3 linked regions of the Arabidopsis thaliana genome follow. The protein of the gene in region 2 interacts with the protein of the main gene of each other region in a pairwise test. Each region holds a gene or a part of one and is shown on either strand. Other genes may lie near its edges. The genes, in order: FEI1, AT1G33100 and ELIP2.

The links.
Region 1: the proteins of AT1G33100 (region 2) and FEI1 interact in a protein complementation assay, tested with the Arabidopsis thaliana proteins (one large-scale study listed by BioGRID).
Region 3: the proteins of AT1G33100 (region 2) and ELIP2 interact in a protein complementation assay, tested with the Arabidopsis thaliana proteins (one large-scale study listed by BioGRID).

The regions. Positions count from the first base shown.
Region 1 is NC_003070.9:11,246,520-11,255,764, forward strand, and holds FEI1 (Leucine-rich repeat protein kinase family protein), read left to right. Parts: upstream 1-3,098; 5' UTR 3,099-3,840; coding exon 3,841-3,940; intron 3,941-4,030; coding exon 4,031-4,166; intron 4,167-4,241; coding exon 4,242-4,313; intron 4,314-4,390; coding exon 4,391-4,462; intron 4,463-4,561; coding exon 4,562-4,633; intron 4,634-4,927; coding exon 4,928-4,999; intron 5,000-5,082; coding exon 5,083-5,154; intron 5,155-5,381; coding exon 5,382-5,470; intron 5,471-5,563; coding exon 5,564-5,722; intron 5,723-5,828; coding exon 5,829-6,161; intron 6,162-6,236; coding exon 6,237-6,485; intron 6,486-6,561; coding exon 6,562-6,695; intron 6,696-6,778; coding exon 6,779-6,997; 3' UTR 6,998-7,396; downstream 7,397-9,245. Other genes in the region: AT1G31410 (putrescine-binding periplasmic protein-like protein), read right to left, coding at 575-1,018, 1,135-1,296, 1,432-1,614, 1,703-1,837, 2,001-2,249, 2,345-2,484, 2,565-2,826; AT1G31430 (Pentatricopeptide repeat (PPR-like) superfamily protein), read right to left, coding at 7,506-9,218.
Region 2 is NC_003070.9:11,994,072-12,002,852, forward strand, and holds AT1G33100 (MATE efflux family protein), read left to right. Parts: upstream 1-3,428; 5' UTR 3,429-3,611; coding exon 3,612-3,875; intron 3,876-4,915; coding exon 4,916-5,457; intron 5,458-5,902; coding exon 5,903-5,989; intron 5,990-6,164; coding exon 6,165-6,221; intron 6,222-6,351; coding exon 6,352-6,590; intron 6,591-6,692; coding exon 6,693-6,811; intron 6,812-6,894; coding exon 6,895-6,981; intron 6,982-7,156; coding exon 7,157-7,237; 3' UTR 7,238-7,350; downstream 7,351-8,781. Other genes in the region: AT1G33090 (MATE efflux family protein), read left to right, coding at 403-944, 1,186-1,272, 1,439-1,495, 1,630-1,868, 1,973-2,091, 2,191-2,277, 2,391-2,471; AT1G33102 (uncharacterized protein), read right to left, coding at 8,462-8,560.
Region 3 is NC_003075.7:8,415,992-8,422,057, reverse strand, and holds ELIP2 (Chlorophyll A-B binding family protein), read right to left. Parts: upstream 3,817-6,066; 5' UTR 3,686-3,816; coding exon 3,551-3,685; intron 3,457-3,550; coding exon 3,355-3,456; intron 3,274-3,354; coding exon 2,929-3,273; 3' UTR 2,733-2,928; downstream 1-2,732. Other genes in the region: AT4G14695 (Uncharacterized protein family (UPF0041)), read right to left, coding at 1,213-1,261, 1,540-1,613, 1,711-1,763, 1,850-1,948, 2,171-2,225. UniProt on the Arabidopsis thaliana protein: Probably involved in the integration of pigments into the mature light-harvesting pigment-protein complexes.

The sequences.
Region 1 (9,245 bases), 750 kb from region 2:
GAAATACCAGAGGATGAAGAGAGACTAAATCCTAGAACCGAGTGTCACACTACCATACTTGATAGAGAAAATTATCACACAACAACTTTTATAAGTAAACAGAATCGAGAAAACGCAGAGTCACTCACTTTAAAAGCATATAATACGTGTTTGAATGTGACTCGCGTTGATTACGAAAACTTGAGGAATGTGAAAACGCTTCGGCTCTTCATAGCTCATTGTTGGGCTGATAGTCCCAAGAAAAAGAACATTTAACTTTCCCTTGTTCATTTTCAAAACAAAGCATTCATTAACACCGTTTTACATGATATTTACCTCTTAGATGGCCAATAAATTAAATAATGTTAGGTTATATTAGGCGTTTTGTGTAGTTTAATTTAATTTATACACTTGTTTTGGCATCTATAGTGTTTGAACTAACGACTAACTAGTAACATGAGCAAAGGCGATCAGCCTCTGGCTCTTCATGACATGATACTCTGTTATAAGGAGATAGAAAACCCCTTATGTTAACCAACATGAAGTTGCTCTATGTAATCATACAAATGATTCCATTTCCACTTTTGTCCGTCTCTCAAATGTTCTTATTCATCTCGGAGTCAAGCTTTGCCCTAAATCCTCGAACCTTAATTGAAACAATGTCCTTTAGTTTCTCCACAAGGCCAGGTCTTTGGCTTTGCTTCCTTACAGTTTCAATCAGAAGCCGATATTCCGATAGCGTAGCCTCTGGTAAAGGTTCCAAGAACTCACACTTAGACAAGATCTCCGGAGGAGGAACACCTGTGACCAGGTTTGTGTCCAGTTTTGTTCTGTCTTTCTTTGTTTTTTCGGGTTCTGTAACCAGAGGACCATCAAGAGCTGAAGGAGATGCACCAGGAATTACTTCCCGTGTGAATGGTAACGATCTTGCAGGTTGCAAGCAGAATTCTATCCACTGGTTGATTAATGGAGATGGGCCTCGGACTCGTCCTCCTCTTTGTTCTGCTTCTTTACCAGAGTCAGAAACAGCCGGGATCGCCTTGAAAAACAATTATGCTTCACGGTTTAGTGTCCAGATATGTTATATCGTCTTTAGAACAAGAAGCATTCAAGATATCAGATGAAGGGTTAAGTGATTTTACGACGGTAACTTACCCATAGATCAGCCCATAAGGTGGCACCGGATTTGGGAACAATCACTGTAACATTAGACATACGTTTTGCGACAGGGATAACATCGCTGCTCCAACCAACAGTGACCCAGACATCTCCGACATTGAAAGCTTTTAAATAGTTGTTACTATCAAATAGTCTAATCTATAAGCAAAAGGGGAAACAAGATCAGCCACCATTGTCATTTTTTCTCAATAACTATAGAGGTTGAGTGAAACACGTCAGCCTAAACTCATCTGTTCTCTTTAGGGTATGGAGAGATAGTAAAGAGGTAATAACCTGTTTCATGAGTGATGCCAGATTTTTCTCCACTGCTAATCTTCCGCCAGGAACTTGTGAATCCAGGTCTGTCGTATTGTATGATGCTCTCATGTATTTGAGAACAGCACCAACAACCTCTCTAGGAGAATTCACCATTGCGATCCTTCCTGCAAGCTCGGGTCGCCACAGATCAGCCCAGTCCTAAATTCAGCAAAATGTTCAGTGATATTCACTTCTTTTAAATAGGAAAACACTAAGACAGCATTTAGCAACAACAAAGTATACCAACCTCTATCGGTGCCAATTTATAATTCTGAAATTTGCTCTTTTTGTATGCTATAACCATGGTGCCCCAGCGGTATGGCACAGCCCACGTTTCACCGTCAGGAGCTTTTTCTCCCGCATAGTTCCTGCGGAGATAAATCTGAGACTTTCTAAGTCATGAAATGAACCCTATGAACATTCCCAAGCTAGCAGAGTACGAAAACAAAACACATGAAAGATTATGCCTATTAAAATCTCTCAAGCTAGTGTTCTTTCAAAAAGACTCATATTCATATTGTTAAACCACTGATTTAAATTCTCACCTTCCATTTATCACTCAAGCCTTTATACCAGTCTTGATCTTCTATCCCTTTCATTGGCTCAATTAGCTTTTCCTTAATAGCAAAACTAAGCCAAGAATCACCAATGCTGATCATATCAGCTGCTGCAGTTGAAGCAGCCCCCTTTTTTCCATTCTTACTTGGTTTCGATAGATCGAAAAAGATCTCTTCAAGATTTCCTCGAAACTGAGTCTTTAACCTCACTCTCTTCCCTTGTGAGCTCATAAACTCCTAAATTCCATTCACAGAATCCAACAACATACATTTTCAACTATAAGCTTAAGATTCAAAATAGAAATGGAAACACAGACAAGTGAAACTAAAACCTTGATCCATGATGGTGGCACTGAGCCACGCAAGGCAACGAGTTTTAGCGGGACAGTAAGAGAATACACTTTAGACTTGTACGCTTCGAAATCAGCTTCCAGTTTTTCTTCATCTTCAACTTCATTTAGATTCTCTTCACCTGCAAAAACATTCCATTGGAACACAAAATTCAAATCCATCGAAATCCCAAGAGTGACGAAAATGTTCAATTTCACGCACCAGCTACAGTTTCTGTGTTGATTTCATTCTCTGTAACGACAATCGGCGGTGGTAGTATTCGAGCGGAGGCCGGAGAACAGACGCGGAGGCTACTTAAACCGATGAACAACACGGTCGAGGCAGAGAGACCAACGATCCTCTCATGAAACCGTTCGTCTCGAGAAACTCGTGCAATGGTGATTCCCCTTCCTCCGTCGCGTCGGTTTCCTCCGCAGTAGAAGCTCGCCGGCGGTTTCACGGAAATAATCGCCGCCGTAGCCATCGATATAACGCGATGGTGAAACAACGGACAACAATGGCTTCTAATCTCAAACCGGTTCAATCAAACCGCTGGGCTTATACCGTAATGGGCCTTAAAAATGGGCCCAATGATTTCGACCATTGTAGAGATTAGGCTTAGCTAAGGTCTAGCTGGCAATAATAATTGGGTTTTATGAAGAAAGCGTCGGTTGACACGTGTGGGAGGTCAAGATCGGCACGTGCGAGACCCACTTCGTTTCTTCTCATTGGTCGTATGCTTTGGAGAAGAAAGCATCTTCTTCTTCTTCACACACTCTCTCTCTCTCACTCTAGTTTTCTCTCTCTTCACTCTTACCATAAATCACACAAACAAAATAAAAAGTCGATTCCTTTTTTGTTTTTTTTATCTTCTCCTTAAGTTATATTTTTTTTTTTTTGCTTTACAGCTCAAATTAGTCATCTTCTTCTTCCTCTGTCTCAATTCTTCCTCCTCTCGGATCCATTTTTAGAGGTTCTTATAATTCTTACTAATTCTGTTTGCTTTTAAAGCTATAACCTTTGATATTGTTGGAAAGAGTGGGGTTTTGGGTCTTTTGCTGAATCGTTTTTTGGATTTGTTATATTGTTCGAATCTTCAGTTGTTATTGTGTTATAGGATTGGATGGTATCTGGGAATTTCGTAATCTATGTTAAGCTAGAGCTGTTTTTGAGCTCTTTTGTTGATGATGATTTTGAGATTGTTGGCCGAATTTAGCTCTCGTTTTCTGATTTTAGCAATTGGAAAGTGTGTATTGGTTCTTGTGAGGCAATTTCACTGTTTTGAGTACTCAAAATGTAGATGAGAGCATGCATAAGTTGTGTGGAGACTGAGCTTAATGTGTAGTGTAATTGACAATTAGTTTTGTGGGCTTTCCTTTGTTTTTCAGGAGTCTAGTTTCTTACTTGAACATAGACATGGAATCAACTAATAACTGACAACCAAGAGGCTGTTCTTTTCAAATGATTGGTAGTAGTTATATTATGCTTGGACAGTGCCATGATGGGCATCTGTGAGATGAAAAGCTGCTGCTCATGGCTTCTTTTGATCTCGTTGCTTTGCTCACTATCTAATGAAAGTCAAGCGATTAGTCCTGACGGTACGTCGATATGAATCAACTATTACTATTCATAGCGTCCTGGACCTTTTATTGAGCTTTAATCCTTTATTGCTTGTTTCCATTCTTCAGGCGAGGCGCTTCTGAGCTTCAGAAATGCAGTTACTAGATCAGATAGTTTCATCCATCAGTGGAGACCGGAAGATCCAGATCCATGTAACTGGAACGGAGTGACATGTGATGCAAAAACGAAAAGAGTTATAACCTTGTAAGTTTTCAAACTTGTCAAGGTTTACTGGTTTTCTCTTCAGTATTTGTGCTCCCTAATACTCTTGTTTCGCAGGAATCTTACTTATCACAAAATAATGGGACCTTTACCTCCTGATATTGGAAAGTTGGACCATTTAAGGCTTTTGTATGTGCTCTCTAGCCTTATTCATTTTTATTGCTTAAGAGAGTACTTCGATTCTGATCATCTGTGTGTCATTGCAGAATGCTTCACAACAATGCTTTATATGGAGCAATACCTACAGCATTGGGAAATTGCACAGCATTGGAGGAAATGTAAGCGCTTTTCCAGGATTTTATACTGATTCCACATGGTTTCTGAGAGACCAATTCCAGTTGCTTATGGTCATCAAAATTGTCCAACTGGTTTTGCAGTCACTTGCAGAGTAACTACTTCACTGGACCAATCCCAGCTGAAATGGGAGACCTGCCTGGCCTTCAAAAGCTGTATGTTTTTTTCTCTTCCCTATACGTACTTGCAAGTGCATCCTTCTTTTAGTGTATGCAATATCTATTTGTTTTTTGTTTTCATTTACTTCTATCACCATCTAGGATCATGGTAACATATGGTTGACTGCATAATGTCTTCTCATGCACATTATATTCAGAACTAGTTATACCTAAACTCTTGGTGAGCAATTTGAAAAGCATGATAATGTATTGTTTACTTCAGATTCACATATTGATTGTTCTCTTTTCTCTACTAAAACTGACTTTTGACTTTTTTATTTTATTTTCAAGGGACATGTCAAGCAACACTCTCAGTGGACCTATCCCTGCTTCGCTTGGGCAGTTAAAAAAGCTTAGTAACTTGTGAGCACCTTAATCTCTAACTTCCGCTGTAATTTATCATATTGCAGTCCTGTGAATCTTTCTGTTTCGTTTGTCTTATGAAGCAATGTCTCGAACAACTTCCTGGTGGGGCAAATACCTTCAGACGGAGTGCTCTCTGGATTTTCTAAGAACTCGTAAGACAATAAACACCCTTTTCTTCTTGTAGGGATAGAAAAATAAAGCCTCTAAAGTTACATTTTTTTTTTTTTTTTGTCAATCCTCTAAAGTTACATTTATACAGCTGATCTTTCATATTTCGCTTATATTCGAGATGATTTTTTGAACCACATAACTATTTAGCTAGATTGTATCAGTGCGACTGAAATTATATGATTCTCAAACTGATGCGTTACTACTACAGCTTCATTGGAAATCTTAACTTGTGTGGAAAGCATGTTGATGTCGTGTGCCAAGATGATAGTGGAAACCCTTCATCACATTCTCAATCAGGTAAAAGCAATTATGAATTTCTTGTGATATACAGGTTTTGTTGTGGCTCTCTATCAGTAAAGTTATATTTATTTGGTGTCTTATACTTTATAGGTCAAAATCAAAAGAAAAACTCTGGTAAGCTGCTGATTAGCGCATCAGCAACTGTAGGTGCGCTACTCCTAGTTGCACTCATGTGTTTCTGGGGATGCTTTCTATATAAAAAGCTCGGTAAAGTCGAGATTAAAAGCCTTGCAAAGGATGTTGGTGGAGGTGAGCCGTATTGATTTTTTTTGTACAGATATTATCTCGTTAAATATTGGGAAATTTCATATTTTTCTCTATCTCCTAAATCTTCATTGTGACTTTTTCAATTCAGGTGCGTCTATTGTGATGTTCCACGGAGATTTACCTTACTCTTCCAAAGATATCATTAAGAAGCTGGAAATGTTGAATGAAGAGCACATAATTGGATGTGGAGGCTTTGGAACGGTGTATAAGCTGGCCATGGATGATGGCAAAGTCTTTGCATTGAAGAGAATTCTAAAGTTAAACGAAGGGTTTGATCGGTTTTTTGAGCGGGAGCTTGAGATTCTTGGGAGCATCAAACACCGATACCTCGTGAATCTACGTGGATATTGCAATTCACCAACATCAAAGCTACTGTTATATGATTACTTGCCCGGTGGTAGCCTTGATGAAGCACTTCATGGTATGATCAATCTGCTCTTTATGGCTCTCTTCCATATTATGAATGATTCACTGAGAAGTTTGGTTCTTGAATTAGTAGAGAGAGGCGAGCAATTGGACTGGGATTCACGCGTAAATATCATCATAGGAGCTGCGAAAGGGTTATCATATTTGCATCATGATTGTTCTCCTCGGATTATACATCGTGATATAAAGTCGAGCAACATTTTGCTTGATGGCAATCTCGAGGCACGGGTATCGGATTTTGGTCTAGCCAAGTTGTTGGAAGACGAAGAATCTCATATCACAACCATTGTTGCAGGCACATTTGGGTACCTAGCTCCAGGTACATATGCCTTTTAAAAGTCTTTACTTACATAAAGATTTGATCTTTCAAATGCTGAGACTTTTCCATTTGACAGAATATATGCAAAGTGGTAGAGCAACTGAGAAAACCGATGTATACAGTTTTGGGGTTTTGGTTCTTGAAGTCTTGAGTGGGAAAAGACCAACCGATGCTTCCTTCATCGAGAAAGGCCTTAACGTTGTTGGTTGGGTATGCAAATAAGATTCTTTTTCAATACTGATATTTTGTTACGACAAACTTGACTAAAAAAGCTTTTGACTCATGATTTACAGCTAAAGTTCTTAATCAGCGAAAAACGGCCAAGGGATATTGTTGATCCAAACTGTGAAGGAATGCAGATGGAGAGCCTTGACGCTCTACTATCAATAGCAACACAGTGTGTGTCTCCGAGTCCAGAAGAGCGTCCAACGATGCATCGGGTTGTCCAGTTACTTGAATCAGAGGTCATGACTCCTTGTCCCAGCGAATTTTATGATTCCAGCTCTGATTAATTGCATAAACCCACCAGTCGAAACCTCGAGAAAAAAAGTAAACCGAGTCCGGTTTCCCGGGGAAAGCCTTCAAATGCTATTCGATTTCCGTTTTTGCTCCCCGAGAAAACCTGCAAATACCAACGAAGAGCCATAATTTTCCAGTTAATGGAACAGAGTCTTTGTGTTGTGTTGCCATTTACTTTGCCCCTCCAGTTTTACCAGATTCGAGCCATTCATTTTCAGCCCTTTCTCTTTTTGTTCTGATTTTTGGTATAAAAACTTTTATTTGAACATGAAATTGAATTGTATAGTTGTGACCTTTGTAGAAAAACTACTCTCTGCCTTTATGTTCTTTTGAAATAATCCATGTTCCTTCATCTTCTTCTTCTTCAGTCTCAATCAATCCTGATTCAGTTACAGAGAAGCTGATATCGATTCAAAACCAACATCGATTCAAAACCGGTTCATTAGCAGGGAAACAAATGTTAATGATAAGGGAAGTAGTTAGAGAATGTACAAGAAAGTTTCAGCTATCAATTTCTTTATGTTCCAAATCCAACATCAAATTTGTCGTTTGATGCAGCATTGAGTTGATCTCATCCATTTTTGGGTGTGATAATAGATCATCTCCAACAATAAACTCATGACCAACCCCATCAATCTCGATGGAGCTGCAACCAGGAAACTTTCTGATTCCCAAATCTTTCATTTTCCTTCTCACATTAGTTACATCTTCCCATCTATTAGCAGATGCATATACACTTGCAAGCAGAGTATGAGCACTGGAATCACTTACTTCCACTTTCTCAAGCTTTTCCGCTACCCGTTCTGCTATTTTTACATTCCCATAGTTCCTAGCAGCACTAAGTAAAGAACAGTATACAGGAACTAGAGTTTCATCGCTTTCACCACGCATCTTATCTATCAATTCCTCTGCTTCATCTAACAAACCAGCTCTGCATAGTAGGTCAATCAGACAGCTGCAGTGCTCTGATTTAGGCTGGACGTTATGTCTTTCGGTCATCGAATGGAAAATCTTACGGCCTTCTGCTACAAATCCACCATGATTGCAAGCTGTTAAAACCGCGACAAATGTTATAGCGTCTAGTCTAACACCAACATTTTCCATTTCGTAATACAAGTCCAGCGCTCTTCCTGACATCCCGTTCATCGCAAGACCGTAGATAAGTGATGTCCACGAAGCTGTGTCTCTCTCCTTTATTTCATAGAAAACCTCTAGAGCTGTCTCAATGCATCCACATTTTGCATACATGTCTACAAGAGCAGTACCAACTACTTTATCTACTGTAACCCTGTTCTCATTTATGTACCCATGAATCCATTTTCCTTGCTCTAAAGCTCCCGTTTGCGCGCAACCTGTCAAGAGAGAGACTAGCACGAAATTATCCGGCCTAATTCCCGCAGTTTGCATGCACCTGAACAGTTCCAATGCCTCATCAAACCGGTTAAACTGAACATACCCATTCATCATAGCTGTCCACAAAACAACATCCTTTACAGGACTTCTCTCAAACAAAACTCTAGCCTCATCAATCCTACCAGTACTAACATACCCAAAAACCATACTAGTCCAACACTTAACATTCTTGTCTCTCATCGAATCGAAAACCGCTCTAGCCTTATCGAGACACCCACATTTACAGAACATATCCACCAACGCATTCCCAATCCTAACACTCATTTCAAATTCTGTAACAACAAACCTATAAATCCTTTCACCAATTTCAAGATTCTTCAAAGCCGAACAAGCCGAAAGAGTGCTCACAATTGTACCTTCATCAAACTTCAAATTGCTCTCCTGACTCATCCGCTTAAACACACCAATGGCATCCTCAAACCTCCCATTACCAACATAACTAGAAATCAACCCATTCCAAGAAACAACATCTCGTTGAGGCATTTCATCGAACACTTTATGTGTGATCTCTATCTTACCCAATGAAGCATACATTCCCATGAGTGAATTAGATACATAAGAATCGAACTCAAGCCCAGCTTTCACAGCATAACCATGAACCTTCTCACCTTCTATAACCTTCCTCAAACGACCAATTGACTTTAGAACAACCGGTAACGTGAAATTATCAGGATACAATCCTTGTCCTCGCAATTCACCGAACAAAGCCAAAACTTTCGTGAAACTTTTACCATCAGCAAGAGATTTGAGCATCTTATTGTACATAAGAAGTGATGGAGTTTGTAACAAACTCATGTTCATGTCTCTTTAGGGGATGATATGAGATAA
Region 2 (8,781 bases):
CCTTGAATATTATGGAATAAGAAAGAGCTTTAACATGTTTGACTTTTTTTTGCTTCATTTAATACACTGAAAACAATTAATTATGTGAAAGAATACAATTGAGTTGTTTAATTCTTCTGTGAGCCTGTGTTCAACTAGTTAGTTTTGGGAGAACTTCTCTTATCAATTTCAGTATTTTCCAACTATTTAGATAGACCGCTTAAAAATATATATATAGAGAACCAAATTTGAACCTAAATCGCTTTAAGGAATTAAACCCATCAGCCTAAAACACGGTTAACTCAATTAAAATTTGGTTCAGTTTATAATATATGATTTTGGAGTATTTTTCGAATATATGTTATTTCATGAAACTACAATGTAACTGTCTCAACATTGGTTATAACTATTAATCTAATGCAGTTAGGTATGGCCAGTGCACTAGGAACATTATGTGGTCAAGCCTACGGAGCCAAACAATACCATATGCTCGGGATTCACCTCCAAAGGTCATGGATCGTCCTTACAGGTTGTACCATTTGCATCATGCCCATCTTCATCTTTTCAGGCCCGATCCTCTTAGCCTTAGGTCAAGAGGACCACATTGTTCGTGTGGCTCGGGTCATAGCCCTATGGCTCATAGCCATCAACTTCACCTTCGTACCCGCCTTCACTTGCCAAATATTCCTCCAATCTCAGAGCAAGAACAAGATCATCGCCTACGTGTCTGCTGTAACCTTAGGGCTCCATGTTTTCTTCTCGTGGCTCCTAGTGGTTCATTTCAATTTCGGGATCACTGGTGCAATGACCTCTACGCTAGTTGCGTTCTGGATGCCTAACATTGTGCAGCTCTTGTATGTCACATCCGGTGGGTGTAAGGATACATGGAGAGGATTCACTATGTTGGCCTTCAAAGATTTATGGCCCGTCTTCAAACTATCTTTGTCTTCCGGTGGAATGGTTTGGTAAGGTTTCCTAAAAGCTTATGGAATCTAAAAGCTCTGCAAACAATATAAATATCAATTAGTGATACTTTTACACTGAGAATCTGATCCGACCGTTACAGTTACGCATATATATTATACACTGAATATTTTATTATAATTCATGTTACTTTTCTTTTGTTATATGTTTGATTTTTTCTTGTTAATTTACTTTACTTTTTTTAATTTATGATTATTACTTGGTGGTCGTTATTTTTTACAGCTTGGAGTTATGGTACAACTCGATATTAGTATTGCTCACTGGGAATTTGAAAAACGCAGAGGTGGCGATTGATGCACTAGCAATCTGGTAAATAAACAAGAATTGACCTTATATCTCTTCTGGTTTCCATACTACACATTTTCTTTATACTAACTCGACTCTTAAGTTAAAATATGGTATGAGTATAAATAGAGTAACATACAAATTATAATATTTTACAAATCGACTAATCTTTTCCATTTCTTTTTTGCAGCATCAACGTAAATGCACTGCAGATGATGATAGCACTTGGGTTTTTGGCAGCAGTAAGGTGCATTGATATATATACTATACACAGATACACTTCACTTCACTGATACTAATTATATCTTATCTTTTTTTTTCTTGGTATGATCTTAATATTATTTATATATCACTCTTCTATGTAATTATCTCTATATATAGTGTAAGAGTGTCCAACGAGCTCGGTAGGGGAAACCCCGAAGGCGCCAAATTTGCAACAATCGTAGCGGTTTTCACGTCACTCTCTATAGGATTAGTTCTATTCTTCGTCTTCTTGTTTCTAAGGGGAAGAATTTCGTACATTTTCACTACAAGTGAAGCTGTGGCAGCCGAAGTCGCTGATCTTTCTCCACTTTTAGCATTTTCCATCCTCTTGAACAGTGTTCAACCCGTTCTCTCAGGTATATACATTAGCTAGTTCAAGCGTGATGGTTATCATCGTATCGAATTCGAACTGATATTTGAAACGTAGTATATGCCTTTAATTGGTTTCAAACCTTATCAGGAGTGGCAGTGGGAGCGGGATGGCAAGGATATGTGGCTTACATTAACCTTGCTTGCTATTACCTTCTCGGAATTCCTGTTGGTCTTGTCCTTGGTTACGTTGTTGGTTTGCAAGTCAAAGTAAGTTTTTCTCTTTATATATTTTTTCTTCATAATGAACAAAAGTAATAAAATTAACAATTGAAAACAACATAAAACTTTACTTATCTTTTTTTGAAGGGTGTATGGATAGGAATGCTTTTTGGAATATTTGTTCAGACTTGTGTGCTTACCATCATGACTCTCAGAACAGATTGGGATCAACAGGTTTAAATAAACAAAATTGTAGTTTCCCCTTCCAAAATAATTAGTTTGTTCAAGCAAGCTATGTTATTGGTTTGGAGCTTAATTATATTGTTTGTTGCCACTTTTTTCTGTAGGTATCTACGTCGTTGAAAAATATAAACCGGTGGGTTGTACCAGAATCTAGAGATGCAAATCAAATTTCATCAGAGGAATAATTCGTTTGGATTATGATATGAACAAAGATATTATATAATTATGATGTTATTTTGGGCAATAGTTCTTTCTAACTCAGATTTTCAATATGAAATAAATTTTGATGGTAATTTATTAGGCTTTTTGTTGTTGTTGTTGTTGTTGTGGTACAATGAAAAAAGAGAGTACAATCTATATAATTTATTATAATCAAAGAAGAGGATAACTAAAATTTATTAATGAGCTATTTAAAAGATAAAATCCCTTTTAGTTCTTTAATTTCACCAACATGTTAACTCATAGTAAAATTAAACTTTGGTAGAATTTTGAGATATACTAGTTATTGAAATAGTGCGAATTAGGGTATGACCAATAAAAAGAAGAGAGTACCTTTGGAATTTTGGGGAAATTTGTGTGCTTACTACTATGATGACACTAAAAGAGATTAAAATAATCATGTTTTATAAACTGATTACCATTTAAAAAAAATGAAATTTCTTCGTTTATCATAGGAAAAGTACAAACATGTTTAAAGAAATTATATTGGTAATTATTTTTAAAAGATCTTCGTGGCTAAAACGTTAAATTGATTGATTCATTTTGACAAAGAAAAATAAACGTTTGATTCTGGAAATCCTCATAATAAATATATACGACAATCTTAATTCACTAAAAATTGTAATTGCTTACGTTGCTTAGAACAAGAATTTGACTATTGTAGTTTGATATGCTCGTTTCTTGATTTTTTTTTTATATTTTTATTTTTTTTAAATGGGTTTATTATGCAACACATAGACACGAGACTCACGACCAAGAAATATGTATATGAATAATTATATTTTTGATAAAAATATTTTGTTTTATTCCAATATACTTTCCAAACACACACTTTTTAAGCATATATAAAGATAAAGTTTAGATATGAATTATAGATAATTGCATTTAAACAAATGATCGATGAATGCACGATCTTAGGTGATCTTAAAATGCATCTATTTCTTAGAGTATTTTCATCACTTAGTCACTCACTGCTACAAAAGGCGTTGACGACCTTTTGTTTCCCAGCTGAAATATAAAAAAAATTGCTTCTTAAACTCAAACTCTCTGCTCTCTCTTTCTTCTATTTATTTCCTCCTATCAGATAAAAACACATAGACTCCACGATGGCCGGAAGAGGAGGAGAGCTCACGGAGGCTCTGGTGAAAAAGACCGGCAGAGAAGAAGAGGATGAGTTGGGGATGAAGGAGAAGGTTTGGATTGAATCAAAGAAACTGTGGGTTGTGGCGGCGCCAGCGATCTTCACAAGATACTCTACGTTCGGAGTTTCAATGGTAACTCAAGCTTTCATTGGCCATCTTGGCCCAACCGAGTTGGCCGCTTACTCTATCACCTTCACCATTCTCCTCCGTTTCAGTAATGGTATCTTGGTGAGTTTACTATAGCGATCTTGGTAATGGTATACGTAGCTTCATTTATATCAATTTTTCCAATTTTATTTAATCTAATGAATCCCTTGATTACTATGGATTCTTCTCCGCTTCAGTAATGGTATCGTGGTGGTGAGTACTACTTCAATTTTTATTTAATCTAATCTCTTGATTATTAGTGATTAAGAAATAACTATATTACAAGGTCAGACCATGTAGGTGAAAATTAAAAAAAAAAAACATGTAGGTGAATTTATGCTATAACTAAGTTGCATGGAAACGGAAACAGAAACGCGGATGCGAAACGTTTCAGAAACGGGAATCAATTTTTTATTAAAATTAGAGATTAGAAACGTTTTAAAAACATATAAATATATATATATATATACATAAAACTATATTAAATAAAAAATGATTTAAACAATATAAGTCTAAACTATCAATATTAAATAAGCTAACTAAAATTCTAAAAGATAAAGATTAAAATTTAAAAGATTCAAATTTTAATATCTAATTTAGACCAACATTTTTATTCTTATTTTCATTAGTTTCATCAAAGATAATATAAAACTCTCTTCAAATCTGGTTTATCAAGAAAAAAATCTTAAAACTAAGAGTTTTCCAAAATTAGTTATATGTATTAATAATCTTAATATTTCCAATTTTAGTTATTAAATTTTCAAAGTCAATAAAAAATATTTGTCGTATGTCTATTTCAAAAACGCGAGTTTTCATCGTGTTTCCAAACATGGATTTTTAGGAAACGCGTTTCCGTAATAATTTTTGCGTTTCCGAAACGTTTTCAAAATAAGTTAGACCAAAACTATATTATAAAATTTGGTCTCACTTATTTGAATTTTTAATACAGATTAGGTGGTCGTGTGAAGAAACTATTATCAAACTCAATTAAAATTTGTATAAGTTTATATGGTTTTGGAGTATTTTTTGGATATGTAATTCCGGTTAACATTTATTTTGAAACTACACAATGCAAAACTACAGCTGTCTCAAATTTGGTTATAACTATTGTTCTACTGCAGTTAGGTATGGCCGGTGCACTAGGAACATTATGTGGTCAAGCCTACGGAGCCAAACAATACCAGATGCTCGGGATCTACCTCCAAAGGTCATGGATCGTCCTCACAGGTGGTACCATTTGCCTCATGCCCGTCTTCATCTTTGCGGGCCCTATCCTCTTAGCTTTAGGTCAAGAGGAACGCATTGTTCGTGTGGCTCGGGTCTTAGCCCTATGGGTCATAGGCATCAACTTCTCCTTCGTGCCCTCCTTCACTTGCCAAATGTTTCTCCAAGCTCAGAGCAAGAACAAGATTATTTCCTACGTGACTGCTGTCTCCTTAGGGCTCCATGTCTTCTTCTCGTGGCTCCTAGTGGCTCATTTCAATTTTGGGATCACTGGTGCGATGACCTCTATGCTAATTGCGTTCTGGTTGCCTATCATTGTGCAGCTCTTGTATGTAACATGTGGTGGATGTAAGGATACATGGAGAGGATTCTCTATGTTGGCCTTCAAAGATTTGTGGCCCGTCTTAAAACTATCTTTGTCTTCCGGTGGAATGCTTTGGTAAGGTTTCCTATTTTTGTTTTGTGTTTTGAACACTTAATTAAGGAATTAGCTAGTAGTGGATCAACCAAATGTTTTCATACTGATAGCTTTAGTTTTCATTGTCATTGTTGGTCAAAACAAGAGATTGGTTCCACTTGATGCATATACTTAGTCCATGTATTAGTTTTCAGGCTGTAAACTATATAATATAATTATCAATCTTGTAGGATTTGATCCGACTGTTACATTTACGCATATACTCCTGAGAATGTTAGGAGTATATTATACACACTTTTAGGAGTATATTTTTTTTTTGGTGAATTACTTTTAGGAGTATATTATATTCACTGATAATTTAATGATAGTTCTAGTTACTTTTTTCTTTTGTTTTTTTTTTTCTTTCTAATTTACTTATCTTTTTAAAAATTGATGATGATTACTTTGTGGTCGTTATTTTTTACAGCTTGGAGTTATGGTACAACTCGGTATTGGTATTGCTCACTGGAAATTTGAAAAACGCAGAGGTGGCTCTTGATGCACTAGCAATCTGGTAAATAAACAAGAATTGACCTTCTATATCTATTCTGATCTCCATACAAAACATTGAAACATAAATACATTTTCTTTAGTACTAACTTGACTCATAAGTTATAGTATTGTATGAGTAATGGTACATACAAATAATATATTATAAATCGACTAATCTTTTCCATTTATCTTCGCAGCATCAGCATAAATGCACTGGAGATGATGATAGCACTTGGGTTTTTGGCAGCAGTAAGGTGCATTGATACATATATAGATTATATACAACACACTTCACTTTATTGATACTATTTCTATATTATCTTTTTTTCTTGGTATGATCTTTTATTTATATATCATCTTATTTGTAATTATCTATATAAATAGTGTAAGAGTGTCCAACGAGCTCGGTAGTGGAAACCCCAAAGGAGCCAAGTTTGCAACATTGATAGCGGTTTTCACGTCACTCTCTATAGGAATAGTTCTATTCTTCGTTTTTTTGTTTTTGAGGGGAAGAATTTCCTACATTTTCACTACAAGTGAAGCTGTCGCGGCCGAAGTTGCTGATCTTTCTCCACTTTTAGCATTTTCCATCCTCTTGAACAGTGTTCAACCTGTTCTCTCTGGTATATATTTTAGCTAGTTGACGCGTAATGGTTATTATAGTATCGGATTCGAACCAATATTTGGAGTAGTATTTATCTATAATTGGTTTAAAACCTTAACAGGAGTGGCAATCGGAGCGGGATGGCAAGGATATGTGGCTTACGTTAACCTTGCTTGCTATTACCTTGTCGGAATTCCTATTGGTGTTATCCTTGGTTATGTTGTTGGTTTGCAAGTGAAAGTAAGTTTTTCAGTTTATATATTTTTCTTTTATGTTGAAAAGTAATAAAACTAACATAAAACTTTACTTCTTTAATTTTGAAGGGTGTATGGATAGGAATGCTTTTTGGAATATTCGTTCAGACTTGTGTGCTCACCGTCATGACTCTCAGAACAGATTGGGATCAACAGGTCAGAAGTTGATTACTATATAATATTCCCTGAATTAATTTGTTTAAGAAAAAAAATTGTAGTTTCTCCTTCCAAAATAATAAGTTTGTTCCTTAGCAAAAATAATAATTAGTTTGTTCAAGCAAGCTATGTTCTTGGATTGCAGCTTATACTGTTTGTTGCCACTTTTTTGTAGGTATCTACGTCGTTGAGAAATATAAACCGGTGGGTTGTACCAGAATCTAGAGATGCAAATCAAATTTCATCAGAGGAATAATTAATTTGGATTATGATATGAAGATATGATAGATTTAAAGATTATGATGATGTTCCTTTTTTATGAAATGTGAAAAAAAAAATTGATAAAAAATAAAGGTTGTTTACAGAAGTTTTTAAGGAGCTTGTGAATTACACAAAAACAAGAGCATACAAAGAAAAAACAGACCTTCACGTTACGGTCCATTAAATCTTGAACTGAACCACCGTAGCAACAGCCCTCTTAGCTTCCAATTTTCGTAGTACCTCAAAGACATGATTTAGCTTAGAGATTTTTATCTGAATATAATCAGCTTAGTGTTGAATTTGAGTTATATATACTCTTTTTCTCTCGGTGTTCTATTGTATTATGTCATTATGTGTGTAGAACTAGAATCGTCTCCTTTGCCCGTAAACATAGCCAAAATATTGTTAGTACCAAGAAACGTAAATTTGGCCATGCATATATATATAATTTACTCCATTTGTTACTACAGTTTTTTGGATTTGTTTGGTGACTTTAAAAATGTTTTCATGTTCGTGACCTCATGATGATGATTGATCGATTGTGAAAAAAGGACAGCTTTTGTAAGGAAATACCGATCTAATACTACAGTGACGCGACTGCTTACGTAGACTTCTTTGCCTCCTCTTGTCGTAGCTTTGTTTTGTTTTTTTCCTTTAACAAATCCTTATTCACAACCACAAACCCCTTTGTTGTTCATATGATCATATAAAATAGAAATATGCATACATTTCTTTTTTATCTTTAAATGTCATTTGCAGATTTATATCTATTTTTTTCTACAATTATTTATTAAAATTTAAATGCCAAATTGGTATCAACCACTAATTTGGGTTTAAAAACAAATACATATCTTTGTTGGATCAGAAGAATAGTTGTGGTATTGAACCGTTGGATTGAACCAGAATGTAAAGATTAAACGAGACTTCACAAACAGAACAAATAATATTTGTTCGGGAGAATTCTCTAATCTATATAACAATATCTTAAATAATTTAATTTCTTAAGTCTTTCTACCAATTTTTTTTTTTACAACCATATTTCATTAAGAAAGTTCAAAGGACTACTACAGAGGGAAGCCCAATTACTACAATGAAAATACAACCTAAGTTTTAAGAAAACCTAGATGCTGACACGTGTTGAAGTCTTCTGCTTCATCAAGCCACGCATCAGTTGATCGAGCGCTGCCGTGTTTTTCTCGCCAAACATCACCGCCTTAGATCAGCCACCGTCGATCCGTCGTGGAGCGATGGGTGGTTGCCTCCTGTCTGACGATCTCGAACCCAAGCCGTAAACGCCGAGAACCTCCAGATCTATCATATGGTATGCTTCAAGAGTTCTCCGAGCAAATCCAACTCCTGGGAAGTTCCATCACAGACAACACCTTTACTGATGCAGTCGAAACATTGCTCCAAATTCACGAACAAAGAAAGATAATGAAGATATTACTCCTCGAGATGATTGGGAGGATCGGATGAACCTCGAGGGGCAGTTGGACAAGAGATTAGTCTCGCCGTCGCGAGAAAACAAAAACCGGACTA
Region 3 (6,066 bases), on a different chromosome or scaffold from region 2:
TTGTATTAGTGTTAAAAAAAAAAAAATGTTGGTTTGTATTTAAAACAGAAACAAAGAGAAAAATATTCATTGAATTTGATTTGAAGATTATAATTTTACTATTGACTAATGACTGAAATATTTAGTTTCTTTGAGATTTTAATATACATTGAATCATATATATGAAAGAAGACTAACTCTCTCCCACAACTTGACACATCAGCACATGAGAGCTTGCCACCTATACTTCATAAAATAAGTAATACATAATTAGTAATTAATTCAACATAACAACTAAAATATGAGAATATAATTAATGAGAACTTGAAACATCACTCTTTTTACATTTTTTTAATTCAATATATCCTCTTTAATTTTGAGATCCACTTAAGTGGCTAAAGTGATGATAAAATCCAAACATGTTACACATATTCCTAGCCTAAAAATTAGACGATTATTATGAAAGAAACTAAATGAATATGCAGATTAAATATATCTAAGCTTTTCGAGATCTATGCTAAGAAAACAAGTAATTTGAAAGATATTTGAGGAGCTATCCTTATAACTAATACGTAAGATATAAGATTATGACAAGAACTTAACTAAACTTTCCAAGAACATCAAGTTGAATATGCTTAGATTGAATATGCAGAGATATGATTAATAAAGACATGTTATATTTTTAGTGTAAGAAATAAATTTTCTAAAATTTCACCGTCTCACAATCTATACATATAACTGAAAAAGCAAGGATATATAAATTCAAAAAAAAAACTGAGAATCTAAAACAACAATAAAAACAATTCAATCACATTCGTTTTTCAGATGAACTAATATAGTTGGGCTTTTCAAAAACAATTACAAATCATATTTATGTTTCAAAACCTATGCATTCAATTTTACTTTATATGAACAAACATTATATAAAATAATTTGTAAATAATACGTAAACCCGCACGTAGTGCGGGTACTCATCTAGTCATTGATAAAGAGGTAACATATTTTTAAGAGATATAGAGTTATTATTTTGATCTAATTACTGATTAATCTTACATAAACTCAACTATCAATCTTGTCCCAAATAATATAAAAATCTTTAGCAAGCATGTAACGTACCATTCACTATCTAACAAAAATCCAAACATTGGCATATGCTACTAGAGGTCCATTAACAAGACAGTACTAATGAACGAACATTTTCACATGTCAAATGTTTCATCTTTTTCATCATCATCATCCTTCAATTTCAACAGCAGCCTCTGCTTCAGATACATAATCATACCTAATATCAAAAAAAAAGTTAATAAGCATTTCATTGATGTATCAAAAGATAAAATCATACTATCATAGACAATCATCATAAAAATCGAGTTTAAAATAGCTTCGACTCTTTGTTTGCATTACATATTAAGCAAAATTTCCTTTGCTGATTGTAAACGCCAAACCAAACCTTTCTGATTGCGTTTAACTTAGCAAAAGAAATGTTTTATATAGTAAGCTGATGAATTTGTTATCTATGTTAAAACACAAGCAAAACAAAAAAGTGGGTTTGATTCTCACTTTATTTTGCGAGTAAGTTGGTATATCCCTGTAGCTGCCATAGCAACATTAACACTAAACAGGTTCCAGTTTTTCTGTTAAAAAAAAACAAAAGTCCAAAGAATCAGATCGATAAACCAAAACCAAGAATCCAATCACAAAAGTAAAACTCGAAAAGCAAACAAAACTTACAGGAGTAATTATAGTGCTGCAACGACACCAAATCATTCCAGTGCATGTCACAGCTAATACAATAATTATGGATAATATGTTTATAACAATAATTGTAACAAGAAAGATTAGAGATTTCTGAAGAGTAGTAGTTATTTACCAATTTGCTGAAGGTACGAAATATTTTCTGGAGGTTTCTGGAAATCTGCAATGTTAGCAATGCTTATACCCCACTTAAATGTTGGAGCCCAGAAATGAACTGATTAATACCCAACAACAACAACAACAAAAAAAGAGAGAAACTGTTTACAATTAGAATATATTATTCATTAGAGGATTTAAAGTGATATAGATTTTTTTTTGTCAAGAACTGTACTATAAACAATTCAACATTTTCCAATAGTAACGTTTCAATAGAGTCTTAATTGAAACGGAAGAAGAAAGAGTAATATATTATTGATGAAACAATGTGATAACTCACTTGTCTTTGGTCCTGCCGGGTGATTCCAGAGAGCTTGAAGCTTAGACGTCGCCATCAACTTTTGTTTTCCTCGGAGATTCTCTTTTCTCTGTCTTGTTTCAGTCTCCTACATAAATATTAACGAAATGATGCTACTCAAAACGACGTCGTATAAGCAATATGTAATTGAGCCACTCAAATCTTTCCGATTATATTCATCGATCGTACTATCGTGTAGTGTTGTAGTGGCCAGATCTTTCCTCTTTTAAGTGTTTTTTTGTTTGTTCATCTTAATATATTTTTTTTTGTTCTTGGGAAGCATTGACGCTTTGATTGGGCTTTGATGAGACTAACCCATGGGCTTGAGAATTGAGATGAGGTGATTTGTTAGAGAGAAATCGCATTCAATTTCGTTTCGTCTTGGAACTTGCTTTACTTTCATTATGGCAGACACATGATGACTCTATTGGTCGATAATAACAAGGAAGAGCATAATTAATTATTCTTGGCTCTTGATTCATTTCAAAAGAATGCATAAACTCTCAAACCTTGGATAGAAGCTAAAATTTATTTTTTACTTCTTCTTCTCCATTCACATTATCTTATAAGAAAACTTTTGAAGTACTTTTTCAAATAAATTTTTATAATGTTTTTTTCATGGTTTTAAATTTTGATTCATGTTGACACACTGTTTAAAACTCATAGTATTAAATCAATCTATGCGTTACATAATCATTCTCCAAATTTGTCCTTAAACTAGCAAACAAAAAGCTTTAGCTTTAGACTAGAGTCCCACCAGTGACGTACTCGGTGAAGGCCAACGCAACGAGACCGAGCATCGCAAACCGACCGTTCCATAGCTCGGCGTCTGAAGTCATGAACCCTTTTGACTTTGCCTCTGCCCTTATTCCCTTGAACAACGGAACCATCGATGCCAACGTCAACAACGCTGTTGTTCCTAGAAACCACCCGACACCACCGTCAGAGATCTGAGCAAACACGTTTTCTCCCTTTGATAACTCCATGGCGATGGCCGCCACGAATCCAACCATTGCTAGTCTCCCGTTGATCCTCTCGGGTGCTGGACCGCTAAACGCTAGCAAATCTCCAAACTTCGTACTCACCTAGACAATAAGAAAATTATTCATTAGCTTCATTTTTTTAGCTAGTGATATATATTAATGACTTTGATCATTAGATCATACCTTAGGCTTGCTAACTGGTGGAGGAGGAGACTGTGGCATTTGTGGTGGAGTGGCCGAAGTCGAGGTCGAGGGCACAGAAGGATCTTCCTTGATAGGATCGCCCTAAAAAAATAGTCAATGTAAGGAACGGTCAGGATTAAAAGTCAAATAAGTAACGTAGGGAAGTGGAAGGACTATGAGGTTAGTGTATATATACCTGAGCCATGCATCTGACTCCTACCGGAGCAATCCTCTTGAAGAAGAGTTGGTTTGTGTTTCTGATGTTGCGTGTAGTCAATACACCGGAAGGAGCAGCGAACACTGACTGCATGTTAAACGACGCCGTTGCCATTTCTGATTAGGTTTTCTAAAAGCCGAAGATCGATGAAGAAGAGAGAAATGAATAAATTATAAGACTTGAGAAGTGAGATGGAGTTGGTTTGAGGTGTAACTGTAGGATTATCTCTTCATTTATAGAGTTGGTGAAGGAAAATGATAGGCCCAGTATTTTCTGGATTTTATTTATCTTTACTGATTTATGGGATACTATGATTACTTATTTTATTTTTGTTTTTGTGTGGTGTGTAGTAGAGTAATAAATAAGTAGAAAGAAATCTATCAAAGAAAAGAAAAAAACTGAATTCAAACTTTTTATTCCTTTTTTTTCTTTTTTCCACTTTAAACTTTTTTTTTCTTTTGGGGAAGAAAAAGTTTCCTCAGAATAAATGTTTTCAAACTTATGAGATTTTTTCCATATTTATTGTAACACCTAACAAATCAGTTGGTCATTCGTTTCATTATTTGTAAAACTACCATATTAAAATTATACAAATAAATCGAATTATTTTGCTCGAAATCGTTAAAAATGTGAAAAAAAAAGAAGAATATATCGATATTTGGGTTGAACGCTAAACACAAAAACACGTAGCCAATAAAATTTGAGAAATGAGAGGAAAGTGAGGTTGAGATCGGTGAGAGGCCACGTCTAGTTGGAAAAGTGCAAGTAAACTGATGGCGTGGCCTCCTCATTACACATAGATACACATCTTCCTTGTCTTTTTCTGATTGGTCATGGCCAAGTGGGTTTGGCAAAAACACGTACAAATTTTTTTTTTGTCTCAAAATGTTAATAACAAGTTAGTGGCTCACAATATTCACTTGGGACTTGGGAGATTCGTTTTTGGTATAGAGAGAAGTCGCATTCAATCTTGTTTCGCGCGTATTGGAACTTTCTTAACTTTCATCATGGCAGACCCATGATGACTCTTTTGATCCTTTATGTGTCCCATTCATGTCTTCGTGCCCAATTCTCCTACGTGCGCTGTTTTTTTTTCCAGATTAGAACGGTAAATAATAGCACAATTGTGAAGATATGGGCATAGTCTTCGTGTCGGTATAGTCTCCTTTTCTATTGTCTTTTGTGTGTGAGTTAATTTCTAAATTTGTAACAAGGAGAAGAGAAACCTCTATTAGTGCTTGTAATACTTTTTGCTTGATAGTGAAAAGTTGTGGGAGACAGTTCCCACCCGAGACGTACCGGTTAGAGGCCAGGAGGCAGGAACTCGGTGATCAAACTCTTGTGTCAATTTCTAGCTTAAGCAATCTAACGTTCCACACATATAGAAAACTCAACAACAATTATTTAGATATGAATGATCAGATTTGATGTACCACCATCGATATGTGCTCTCTGCGAAAACTCTTTATATATACTGAAAGAAAACATACACCCACATTGGTAGTTTTTTTTAATGGATTTTACTAGCAGAGGATAATAAATTTATCGCATATATTACTTACATTTGTAGTTTCAAATACGAAAAAACTTGACCATTAGTAGTGTGAAGTGTGTAATTGATACTTTTGAGTTCAGGACGAAAAAATGTTCACGTCATTCGTGAGGAAATAAGGCATTTAGACTCAAAAGTCCAAACATGTGAGAAGGTCCTCGAAAGGGCGAACAATAAAAAGCCCCGAAGCCCATAACACGAGTGCCTTCTTATCCCCATGAGTCTTCGAGTGGACAAAGAGAGAGAACAACTTTGGGAAATTTATAGTAGTTTGTGAAGACTTCATATAAAAATTGTATTTATGAGATTATTGTGTTTTAAGAGGAGAGACGACGAGGGTCATCATTCATTTAATTACTTTTAACATTATAATTAAGTTCTGATTTATCCGGTCGTTTATGTAATTTATTGATTATATACTTAGGTTATTTAGCCGGCCACAAGGCCAAGCAAGCAAAACATAAGCTTGCGGCCGCTAATCATATTATTATTTAGTTTTGGCCGAATTTGCATAAAAATGTAGTCTAATGGTTAAAGTTTCAGTATTTGAGTTACAAGTTCCTTAGTTCAAACTTTGACAATGTGTTAAACTAATTTTTTTTTAAACGACAGAATCACTAAATAAATAAATATTATGTGGCCCATTTTGTTTCTCTTATTGTAACCCCGTGAAACCCGGGGACGACTAGGTAACAAATACTCTTTGGGTTTTCTTATAAATCAAATGCATATCTTTGATAAACTAAACCATGAAAGAAGGAGTTTTTTTAACTGATGAATTGATGATTATTGAAGTTGATATAAGTTAGATTCAAGTTTTGATGTACTGTATTTGGAACAGAAATGTTATAATATCTTACTAAAGCCCAGTTCGGAACAAGGCCTTACCCTTATTTAAAGCCCCAGTAGATCTGTTTTGAATTGTCGCTATGAGTGAATGAGG